Drosophila melanogaster: one gene and its partner. The protein of the gene in region 2 purifies or fractionates together with the protein of the main gene of each other region. This does not show direct contact. Each region holds a gene or a part of one and is shown on either strand. Other genes may lie near its edges.

Region 1 (7,766 bases), on a different chromosome or scaffold from region 2:
TCTTTAAAACAATGTTTTAACTTTACTTTAAACTTTAATGTCTTGGATGTTGTCTTGTATAGGGGCGGCTTGCAATATATCGGAGGAACTCGAACCTTATTCTTAAAGATCATTAAGCTGTAGCACATTAAAAACTTTCTTAACTATAAAAACTATATTATTAAAGGAACACAAGAGTGTTCTGAATGATTTATTTGCGATATAAAACATATTAATCGTATCCGCCATTATGTTGCAGGAGTAAAGATCGGACCAATTAAAGCCAGCTATAAAATTGTTTAGCCTACGAAAATTTGCCTTGCGAAAACAGTGAATTCGCTTGGTTGACTTCTCTGAATTTACTTATACCTTACCTATGTCGATTGCCACCTCGAAAGTAGGATATGGATCTTGAGGTTGAGTAAGAGGGTCTACCCTGGACAGAAACACACTTTCAGGACTTGTTACAAAACATAGATCCAACAGTCGACCAAGAGAGTTTGGAATATAATTAACTAGCGACAAAGATAAGTCGAGCAAGCCGTCAATAAAGTCATGTTGTGCTAAAGGGAGAAGGATATTCGATTTTTCTTCTGGGGACCCCGTTGTGCCAGGTATATTAAAATCACCTAGAACTACCAATTGGTCCCTGTCAGACAGTTTATTCAAGATGGACTGGATATCGGACAGATGATTCTTATATTCTGGGAATTCAGAAGATGGCGGAATATACGAGCACGTAATATAAACTGAACTGTCGGAAAATTACAGCTTTACACATAAGAATTCCGAGTTACGGGAATCGCCCAAAAGTAACTCTTCTGACGAGAGGATAGATCTAACCGCAATTAAGACTCCACCTCCCCGTCTGGAGGGACGGTCATACCAAAGACACTACAATGACAAGATGCGTAACGGCCATACATTGGTTTGGCACTATGCAGCCGCCACTTTTTTGGTGACGGCCAAAATTGCTCTCTGTCCGCTAGCTTACGCCGAGAGCGTAAGAAATCTTAAAATAGAACTTGCTTGCTTGTGCAAGTAAAAACAAGAGACGAGAACGCGTATATGTGTGCGTGTTGTTCTAGAAGACGATTTCGGGCCGAAAATTTTAGTGCCTTTGATCTGTCCCTAGCGTAAGAGAAGTTACACTTTTCCACTTTTATATTATCGGCTTTTGTTTTGTCTTGTATATAAGACAATACATCAGACAATGTTTCATCACGGGAAAGCCGAGAAACGAAAATTTGTTTATTTAGTGGAACCACCGCGAGGGGTTTTGGTCCTGCAGATTGTATTTCTGAAGTGCCAACTTGTGCCGTTAGTCCGGACTCAATGTTCCGTTGTGGTGGTAAACTAATCGGGACAGGTGGAATCACTGGTTAAGAAACCAGTGCAGGCAATTCGGAATTTTAAGCAATCACAGGTTGGGGTCAAACTGCACAAATCACAAAAGAATCACTCGCGAAGCGAACGGATCTTTAATAATTATGTTTAAAATATTTGATAATTAAAAAAGATTATTAAAAACCACGGCTGGTTGGACAAACACGAAATAAAAATCGGGTCGCAAAAAAAAAAACACGAACGTTCGCTTTGAAAGCTAATAGACTTTTTGAAGGCTTAATTATTAACATTGTATTTATACAGGGATAAGAGAACCTCACATTGGAGTTGATTAGGTTCGGGGATTGAATCTTAATACATTTAATTTAATTATTCTCAGCTTGCAAACCAGTTTATCGACAAGTAAGAAACGATGTTCCGGTTCCGCCTGATAAACAGCTACATCTTATATTGCATGTCGTCTAAACCCTTGAAGTTAGAGCTCCTTGTCTTCGTATCATAGATATGTATTGTGAGGAGTCTTAAAACTCCCCACAAATCCGGGGAGCACCAGCGAAGAAGGCGAAGGTTAAAGTCAGCTCTAACAGGAAATAGTGGATCTTAAACCCTGGTAAAGCGGATGCCGTGAACTAACGGTACCGCGCTGAACCTTGGACTCGAGCCAGAAATCAGTGAACTTTTAGTGGCCATGGAAAAAAAATGTTTGGCAACTCAATAAAAATTTACAAGACTAATGAAAAAAAATATCAAAAAATTTTGCAAAAGTGTGGGTGTGGCAGTTTTGGGCGGTTAGAGTAGGCGTGTCAACGCGTGGTTGAAAATACGAAGGAAACTATTCCTTTCTTGTAAGCAAAGAACAGCTGGCAAAACGCGAAACTAGAGTTTATTCGTACTATATAGGGTTGATAAAAATCTATTATCTTACCTTAATGTTATTTATATATTATAATGGAAATTATATTGGTAGTCATCTTTCTCTTAGATACATATGCTCCATAAGACTTGAAATATATAACAACACTTTTGTTGATATGATAGTTATCATTGCAGTGAAAGCCCTAATCCGAATGGCAGAACTTGTTTGCATTGCTGCAGGCTGCTCACCTGTACCAATGAAATATTTAAAAACATATTAAATTGAAATAATTTTATGTTTACCAGTTAATACGTGAACCCTAACAGAAGCTGGAATGGCTCCATTTGGAACGCATGTATAGTTTCCAGAATCCCTTAATGAAGCTCGCGTTAGCATCAATCGACTCGTTGTTCCTACATCAGTTTTTTCCGTTTCTAAACTTATTCCACCGCGAAGTGAATCGAAGTCAACAACTGATGAGCCATGATACCTTTGATATAGTAAAATAAGTTGTTAAAATCTCTTACAAAGATCATGGTTTCTTACCAAATCACAGATGGTGCATGTATATTAACAGAGCAAGCCAGGGCAATAGTGCTATCCCGTTTTACATGAATTTCCGTAGATCCAAGAATTTTTGCTCGAGCCGCTTTAAAATATCACAGATAATTTTAATTTTAAGCAAGCTATAAAAGGCCTTACACTTTGTGTCGTAAAACCGCTTCTTAGTTTTAAGGTCTTGAAAGTCGTTGTCAGCTAAAATTTTATACAAAAGTAAATTTAGTATGAGTAATTAAATTAATACAACATTTTCTGGGGGTAAGCATATTTATGAACTCTTCCAGGTGAAATTAAAACCTGAATCAAACAAAAACCAGAGAATGAGACCCAAGTCGGTCCGAGAATTTTTAACATCTTTCAAGAATATCGATTGAACTTGGGAAAAAAGTTAATTTTAATTCCCTAAGGTGTGGGCGGGATAGATTTGGGCGTGTTTTATGGTTCAAAGTGGGCGTAGGTAAAATGTTTTCGGCATATCGGTAGAAATTAGCAAACCAACTGATTTGTGGGAGTTAGAGTGGGCCTGGCAGTATGTCTGTAGAATCTGTATGCTAATCTCAAACTTCTAGCTTTTATAGTTCCTTAGATCTCGACGTTCATACGGACGGAAGGACATACTCGGGTATTTATCCTGAATATAGTTGGAAACGCTTCCTTCTGTCTATTACATTAAAAGTAATGATTATAAAAACTCCTCGACTTTCATGTACCGTGCGGGTAAAGTTTTTGGTCGGTTCTTAAGTAGGAAAGCTCAACTTTCTTTATCAAGTTCTTTATCAAGAAAATGTAGATCAATTCTCAATATTTAGTTAGTTAGTTGTTAAAAAAGCTGAACGCATGTCAACTGTGAAAATTGACTGATTTTGTTGCTTTCTAACTTAAAATCGCGAATTTTCGAAAATGTGTTTAATATCAAAAGTCGGGGAATTTTTTGTAAAATTATCAAAAGAGTCAAAAGGTTCCTTTTGCTGCAGTCTTTAACCTGTTGAATTTAGATAAAATAGGTTTAAACAGTATAGATAGCATTTGAATATGCATTTCCAGCTATTTATTGCCCAATACTCTAGACTCATTACTTTACTAATTTGTGTTCAGATTTAAAATTTTTAATTGCCAAGACTTGTTGATTTCTGCCTCTTGATTTCTGTATTATTTGTTATGGTCGCTCAACGACAAAATTTAGTTTTGTATATACAGTACTCGAGTTCCACAGTTATTATTTTGTTTTTTTTTTTTTTGTTTGTTAATAAATGTTTATATATATACCTATTACTTGCAAACAAATTGCTAAATTTATTTTAGGCTCGGTATTCACTTGACACTCATATACGCCACTGTCTCTTGGCTGTGCATAATCAATTTTTAAGTCCCAATCTTCACTGCCTGGTGGATGTATTACAGAAAATCGTTGATCGCCGGTGTAAGTATAAATGTTCGTTGTAAGAATGTGAAGATCCCGCTTACGCATCCATGATACCTGAAATAATTAAAAGTATTTATAAGAAATATTAAATAGATACGCAATTTTAGGACAAGGGAAAGTTAAGTCCTCCGCTATCTGATAACCCTTTCACTATTTCAAAATGTAATCATTTATTCCTAATCCTATTTGTTTAGATATAGGCAAGCTTGCTAGAGAAACATGAGACTTAAAAGAATTTTTCACATTTTCAAATTGAGAACAGGCCTCGAAACAAGCTTGATCGATGGAAATGGAGGCAAGTTCCCACGTAGATTTGGGAGGAGAGTTGAAAAGGGCTAGCGAAAAGACAGCGCAAGCTAGCAATCCTTGGGAGAAAACTGCCTTTAAAAAATAAAACGTTTTCCTGGTGTGTCCCCAAGTTTAGTTTGAAATTTAAGGTTACTTCCCCCTCAAACAATTTTCCGTCACTAATTCGTACAGTCGTACTTTTTACCATGTGACCGAATGTGCTCTTCAAACGAATAAAAATGTTTCGATATAATCCTATGTGTAAGAATAAAAGAAAGAACCCATAATGACTTACCGTGCGATTTCCTTTATTTTTAACCCGACATCTTAATATTGCGATTTCGTCGACTACGGCCGACACATTTCTTGGGCTAATATCATCAAAGAAAGGTCGCTCCAAATTGGTTAGGTCTAAAATGAATTTGTATTTTATGTTAAACGAAAACGGATGCTAAATTATTCAAGCCGAAGCGTATATACCCTTGCAGGTATAAACTAAAAATAATTTTATATGCCCCTTATCTAGAAGCTAAACATTTTAATTTAAAGTTTCGATCTTTTTATGGACGGAAGTGTCGGTCAAGACTAAGAGCTTGCGACAACTATATATACATGCGCGAAATCTTTTGCGATAGGTCGATCATAAAGAGTGGTTACACTTGTTGGTGAAAGAGCTTGGGGCGAGACATGAAACTGTTGTCATCTTTTAGAAACCGAAGCTCCTCTCGAAGGATGTTTTGCAAAGCAAGCTTTCAGGTGGTAAAAATACTATGGGCAAAATGCAATATTAAGATTATTTTTTAGATTTAAATTTAGCATAATTTAAATACAATGGCTTTTTAAACATAATACTTTTGCGTATAATTTCACAATTGAATATTGTTAAGTACAATACGTACATACATGTATAATTTTTGTCTTCGTATTCAGGAATGCATTATATGTTTTCATTCTACACGTTGCAGAAGAAAATGGGTCCAACCAAAATTAAAAAAAAAATCCCGCAAGGGTAAAAATATATTTATCATTCTAGTGGGAAACTTTTAATTTAAAATGTATCTTACCGTTCAGGCTTAAATATGAAGTTGCACTAATGTATTGACACCATATATTTAAATTCAAGACTAAAATAATGAATGGTTTGATTTTAATTGGCGAATTATTCAAGAATGTGGCATGTTTGCCACGCGACATGTTGCTTTAATTCATTTGTCTTTCACAGATATGCATTATTTAGAGTAGAATTCCATATACCTATGTAGTTATAATAAATGTTAAGTATATAATTAAGTTAGATATTAAGCACACGCGAGAGCACGTATTGGCGCAAGATTTTTATTGAGAACAACTTTGTATCGGCATCGATTTTTTATCCTTTTAATGGACTTTCAAATAATATTCTGTTTTTCGGTATTTAGATCTGTGTTTTTAATATACATACAATTATACTTGCTGGCTTCAATTTTTATATACTTTTTTTAGTCTTTACACTTATTTCGTTGGCATCGACAATTATTATTTCAACGGTAAGCTCTAACAACCCCTAAGCAGCACGTTTTAGTGTTTCTGTGAGGACGACTTGTATACAGATTTTTAATATTCTGCAACCCTGAAAATATTCGCGCATGCCCATTGTCACATATGTACATATGTGTTATCTTACAATTTAGGATAGATTCTATATATTTATAGATTGCGTAGGTTATAATTATTTGTATGTATATATTTTTTAATTTTAACATTTTGAAGTCATATACTAAGTACTCTAGTTTCCTTTTATTGCTAAGACTCAGTAACACGGCTTAATAATATAAGCAATGGGCGGAATACAAATGGTACACATCAATTTGAGACTGAGATCAGATAAACGTGACAATAGCACCTTTACCCCTTAAATTTCGAACAAATTTGTTACTACTGACAGTTACATTCTCAAAAACGGTAATGGTAATGTAAGCATACATTGTGAATTTATCCTAAAAAAATGCATAAGTTATTATACCAGTTACTCGTAAATTTAAATGATATAGAAAAGGAAACGTTACCCGTTACTCGTAGAGTAAAAGGGTATACTAAAATCGTTACAAAGTATGTAACAGGCAGAAGGAAGCGTTTCCGGCTACATAAATTATATGATATTATTATATTATATACATTTTTATTCTTGATCAGGATCAAAAACCGAGTCGATCTAGCCTTATCCGTATGAACGCCGAAATCTCAGGAACCATAAAACCAAGAAGGTAGAGATTTAACATACAGCCCATATTTTAAAAAAATTGTTGGATGTTGTTCCAATATTTTATTATTCTTGTACATTTCTATCGATTTGCCAAAAAACTTTTAGCCCCGCCCTAAAGCCCCAAACCGGTCACGCCCACTCTACTATTATTATTAAATAGTATTAACTATTATTAATTTTTTTGTCATTTTATTCCCCAATATCTATCGATATCTCAGAAAAATGATAAAATTCCGCGTTTGCATTTACACTAGCTGAGTAACAGGTATCTGATAGTCGGGGAACTCGACTATAGCATTCTCTCTTGTTTTAGTTTTAAGTTGACTTGTTTGAAAATTAGTGTAAGTTAGTTTAGTTCACATAAAGTTCAGTTTCGCTCCCTTAAAAACTGTCACCGTCCTTGTTAACATCTAGGTGTTTCCTTTTGAAAATCAATTCTTAAATTCAAAATGTAGCTTCACACAGATAGAACTATAACTTTTCAACTAGCAGCTTGCACAGAGCATGACACATACATAAGGCCAATTATTCGCTTCGGACTAAACATCTGCAAAAGTGTATAATTTGTTTTCCTTATAGAAGGCAACACCATTTCAGGTCAAGGTATTTACATGAACCTAATGTAATGTCTCATCAGCTCTACCGCAATAGTAGTATTATTCTTAAATAACAGTACATTAATTGCAAACGAAAATACAAATTCCAATTGAATTTAGGTTTGTCCGGTATAAGCACGACAATTGGGATAACAAGGTATTATGAAATTGTATACATATGTTTTTGTACAAATCTTGTTTGTAAATATAAACTTAAAAAGTAAGAAAAGTAAAGAGTTTGTTTTCAGAACGTGTATATGTATGCACATTAGTCGATCACAAGCGGGATGCTCTTGTACCATAAATACATTCAAAAATAATATCTCGTGAACTTCGAAATATTTTTATGTTTTTTTTTCTGAAAATAATGTTCTCTTATTATGTACACGCTATCTCGCCAGGCATTTTGTGCTATTTTTCGAGGTTTAACAGTGTCTAAATAGAAAATAAATAGTATCAATAATATGACATATA
Region 2 (4,822 bases):
AGTGTATTTGTTCTTGAATAATTCTAATATGTAATCTCTTTGATTTTAATTTAAAATAATCAACTTTCTTTCTTCGAGTGTAGAGCTAACCCTTTTGGTAAAAATGATTTGTGGCTCCAGTGCATTGGCACGCAATGAAAAGTTTTCGATGGAGAAATGGAGCGGGATAGATAGTTCCTTCCAGGGACGCTTTATAAATCCTTTTTATACGTCATAAAATCTGTTATTGGTGGGTTTCTACTGTTTCCATCGCTATTATTTATTGGTCGTGTGCGTGTGTTGTGCGAAATTATATGCCTGTTATAAAGACGCGATAGGGAAAGGGGGCGGGAGTTGATTAGCTCCCGAAATATATATATATATATATAAGTATATATGAGCAATTTAGAGTTGCAGAGGGCGGTGGCCAGGTCAAAACGGTGCCTGACACAATGTGGCACGGTTATTGAAAAGCGACTGGCTGGTGTGCGTGTGTGGGTGGGTGACTTTCCTGCCTCGCTTGTTGCACTTGCCACACATAATGGAAATCTCCAAAGAAAAGTTTCACCAAGCAGAAGAAATTTAATTAAATAATGTATCATAGCGAACGGACTTTGAAGCATTTTTGAATCGATCGCAGTCAATTTTTAGTTGCATATTTCAAAGTATTGGGGGCACTAATATATTTAATAACAATCAAAACTGACTCGGAACGATGCAGGCGAATTTTATTAAATAATATTTCATGCTGAACGACTTTGTTATATCGTTTTATATAAATAAGACGGCCTAGTAAAGCACTAATTTAATTTTAAAAATTTTATTTCAATTCTTAGTTGGAAAGAACTTTGTTTCTGCATATATACTACAAATTATATCGTTAGAAAATTTTTGTTTGAGAATTTCAAACAGATTTCAGTTAGATGTAAGATTGGCCTTAGTTACGTCTTTAAATTTATGGAAACTATTTCTTGCGAACCATTGAAACATTGTTTTTTATCAATACATACTTAAATTTAAAGCATAATTTTCTGATAATGATTGATTTATATTAAATGAATCCCGTAAAAGAGATCCAAAATAGAAGACAGCGAAAGATCATCTTGCAGATGGCTTCCATTCCATTTTCTTCTACCTACAAGTCAAAATATATAGTATTTTCCTATGGCAATAATCTGTTGTACTTATTGCAGTTGTCAGAATTGCAAGTGATAATTCCCTCTCTCATATTCAAGCGCCACGACCAATGACAATTCATTTCTTCATCTCACACAGTTACTTACTATCAGCACCCCCTCTCACCATCACCATCCCTTCACCCAACCCAAAAAGGGTTAACCCTTTCCTTTGCCACAGATTTCATTCATAAATGCGAGCCACCAGTTTCACGCGCCCAAAAGTATGGCGAGAGAATTTCCCAGGCTTTCAATGCCATTCAATTCGTATTCAACCGAGCCGAGAGCGCGCCCCCCATTGGGCAGCACACGCACACACACACGCGCAGAGCATGTTAGGAAAAAAGAAGCACCACGAAGTGAAAAGCGCCCGCCAACAAAAAGCAAAATAAAATGTGGCCCAGCAACAACAAAAATCACAGTTGTCTGATTCGTTCGCGAGGCCGCTGCCCACCCCCCGGGCGCCCACTAAAAAACACCACCCACCCACTGGGGCGCCCACACTCCCCCCAAAACCCCCCAAAACGACGACGATTCGCCAAAGGAGCATCTTCGGCATCGCTCGGCAGTCGCTGGGAGTCGTTCCACGCGACTTTGGTGGCCCTCGGAAATGCTGGCTTCAGTACATCGACGGCGCTCGGTTCGTGCGGTTGGCCTTTAGTCCTTCGAATCCTGCTGCATACAAGCAAGCAGAATCCCTAACGGAATCGCGTGTGTTTTTTGCCGCCAAGTGTTGCATTCGTGCTGCAAGTGAATCGAAGTGATGCTGTAGACGCCATGAGTGACTTGTGCTGAGCGAATTTCTCGACAGGATTTAAAAAAAAAAAAATCAGGACAGCTCAGCCGCAGGACATGTGCAATTTGGAGTTTCACGAAAAATACAAGATTGCCAAGAAAATGCTCTGAAAAAGGTTGTTATGCTGCAGCTATTAAGTTAAATGCGAACTTCCATTAAAATCTGCATGCAAGACTATTGAAAGAAAGCAAGGAATCCTTTTTCTAATCGCTGGCTGTGATTGCGGCCAGTGAAGGCATTCGAAAATAGTTTGGCAGCGATTTCGGCCAGGTCAAATCGACAACAAGTAGAATTCGCTCGCGTGTTGAGTCGCGCGCGTTTTTAGCCGCTTGTTGGCAATTTAGCCGCGATTTTGGCGACATTTGCCGTCAGCTGCGTGTTTGCTGTAATTATATTTAAAGTAAAAACAAAGCCCGAGTTATTTATGAAGCAACAACAATCGGGCCACCCTCGGCGGTCAATGCTCGTCACATGATTTGCCATTCCAGCTGCATGCGTGTCTGTGTGTGTGTGTGTGTGTATCGTGAAATTTGCCTACAAATGTGAATGTGTCTGGCGCGCCACTCGACGCTGTTTATTACGAGTGTCCCCGTATGGCAGGAGTGCACTGTTTAGGCCACATGGGCAACAATTGCATATTTTATGTTTCACGGCTGCCCGAGTGTAATTTAAAGTTCATTGATATCCATAAAGCGCAGGACAAACCCTCGACGCTTCATGCCAATTTGCTGTCTAGCTGGCTAGCCATTTGTTGCAAATATGTTGCAGCGCTTTTGGGACGAACCGGAAATAATATGTGTACAGTGTACACTGTACAACCCACATTCGGTGGTTTTCCCCCGGGGTGGCATGATGGTGCCTGTTTTCGATTTATGGCGTTTCTCTATCATTTGCATTTTACATATAATTTCTGATCAGTTGTTATCTGCTCGATTGTGATTTCAGTTGGCGCCCACAGCCGAATGTGCACTGTCTACTGACGCTCCAGGTGGGGCCGAGTGGTATACATATATGTATATTATGGAAATTAAAACATGTTGACTCAAGATTGAAAACCCTGTTGTTCTGCTGCGAAATCGTAATCCCCTTAATCCGAATTCCCCCGCCTGCTCCGGTATCAATTGCATAAGAAGAATTCCAATTGCCCCCGGAGCGATAACGAAATGGTTGGCAAGGCCTCGTCGTTCAGTCGGCTTGACATAATGGCCGGCATGTGAGGAGTTGGATTTTTCCTGCCATTGTTGTTGCTGTTGTTAATAACAAGCGATAATAATCAACTTCCGTGCTGGAAAGCGAGCGGAGGAGAAAATTGTGAAAAACCGAGCGAAACTCTGATTTCTAGAAGGCGCTGCCAGCCTGAACACTATGAGTTATGCAAATTTTATGCAAGGTCCGGTTAACTGGGCTGCCCTTTTCTGGGCCGGATTAAAAAAAATTTAAAAAGCTAGACGGCGAATAATTCTGAAAAATGTCGAAGTGGCATCGCGATAGAGCGGGATATTTATCACGTGTTAATTAATGTTTGCGCTGGAAATTGAATTTAAAGTATAGCTCGAGAAGTCTGGTAGTAGTAGCGAATGACATTTCAGTTGAAGCTTCTACATGTCAGCATTATTGTTTTAAAGGGAAAAATGCAAAAGGTGCTTCAAGCAAACTGTCGGGGGGGTTACTGAAAATTTGCCATAATTCAGCAGCTGATTATACACATTGAAGCGTTGGAGAAAAAGGGACCGTGCATGTCCGAAACCATAAAAATAATATATGGCTTGAACACTACAAAGGTGCCATGAGCACCTCTTATTATTTGTCATAAATATTTTCTTTTTTTGCTTTTTCATAAGTTGTACTTAAAGCTGGTAACAAAATAAGTACAGGAAAAGGATTTAGAAACATCCAAATTGAAATAAATTACACATTTGCTTGGAAAATTGCTTGTGGTCAATTTAGGCATTCATCACATTGCTCGATTGAATTTTCGCTTTGTTTAAATACTTTCCATTATTTATTACAAAATATTTTCAATTTTATATAATTACAGAAGAATGTGAAACACAATATATATTATATATGCTTGAATGAATGAAGATATTTTGTCAGTGTAGGCTGTTGTGCCAATTTAGAAAAGCAAAACTTTTAACTCGTGATAATTAATAAACATCAGTGATCTACATCGCCATCAATATCCAATGGCACCAAACATCCAAGAGCTGCCCACCAGAAGCGGGAAGGTACTTTCGACACAATCGCCTCGATATGGCTTCGGATTGTGGTCAGGCCGTGGGCCTGAAGCCTGAAGCCATCACCTGTCCCTGACTCCGAGTCCGACTCCTGACGTGGCCCGCATGCTCTAAATTATTAATAATATTGCCAGGCCCATTTGCTAGACATTTTTAGTGCCTACCGCCGTTCCAGGCCAACCGCCACCCCCTCCCTGTAACCATTTGCAGTGCTGTCGTTTGCCTGTTGTCTTTTGTAGTCTACTTTTCTGGGCATGCAATGCGGATTTAAATGTGTGAGTGTATGGGTGTGTGTGTGTATGTGTGTATGACAAAGGACACATAGCACACATGCCGGCAACTTTGCTTTCAATTCCGCTAAATTATGAAAAAATCAATACGAACTCGAAGGGAGGGGACAAGGAATTTTAATGAAATGTCAGTTTAAAATGGTTCCTGTCAGTTTGCGGCCGCCAGAAAGTAGACTTTTATTTTTCCAAAACCCGAAATCGTTTGCATGTTCAGGCTCATGGCCGAGTCAGCTGGAAAGTTAATCAAGGTTCCCCAATCATAAGGGCGGACTTTCGAACATATTGATATCTGCGTCTGGCAGCAGGCACCCTTCTATTATTGCCCCCGAACTAGTTTTAAGTGTT

What was found.
Region 1: the proteins of DIP-eta (region 2) and dpr7 purify together in Drosophila melanogaster (affinity purification with western blotting; 2 studies listed by BioGRID). This does not show direct contact.

The regions. Positions count from the first base shown.
Region 1 is NC_004353.4:247,306-255,071, forward strand, and holds the start of dpr7 (defective proboscis extension response 7), read right to left. Parts: upstream 6,025-7,766; 5' UTR 5,896-6,024; exon of another isoform or gene 5,709-5,895; 5' UTR 5,649-5,708; coding exon 5,519-5,648; intron 5,407-5,518; exon of another isoform or gene 5,406-5,406; coding exon of another isoform or gene 5,354-5,405; intron 4,866-5,353; coding exon 4,750-4,865; intron 4,221-4,749; coding exon 4,010-4,220; intron 2,939-4,009; coding exon 2,885-2,938; intron 2,832-2,884; coding exon 2,729-2,831; intron 2,673-2,728; coding exon 2,485-2,672; intron 2,431-2,484; coding exon 2,294-2,430; 3' UTR 2,252-2,293; intron 1-2,251.
Region 2 is NT_033779.5:5,614,898-5,619,719, reverse strand, and holds the start of DIP-eta (Dpr-interacting protein eta), read left to right. Parts: upstream 1-1,773; 5' UTR 1,774-2,065; intron 2,066-4,058; exon of another isoform or gene 4,059-4,490; intron 4,491-4,822.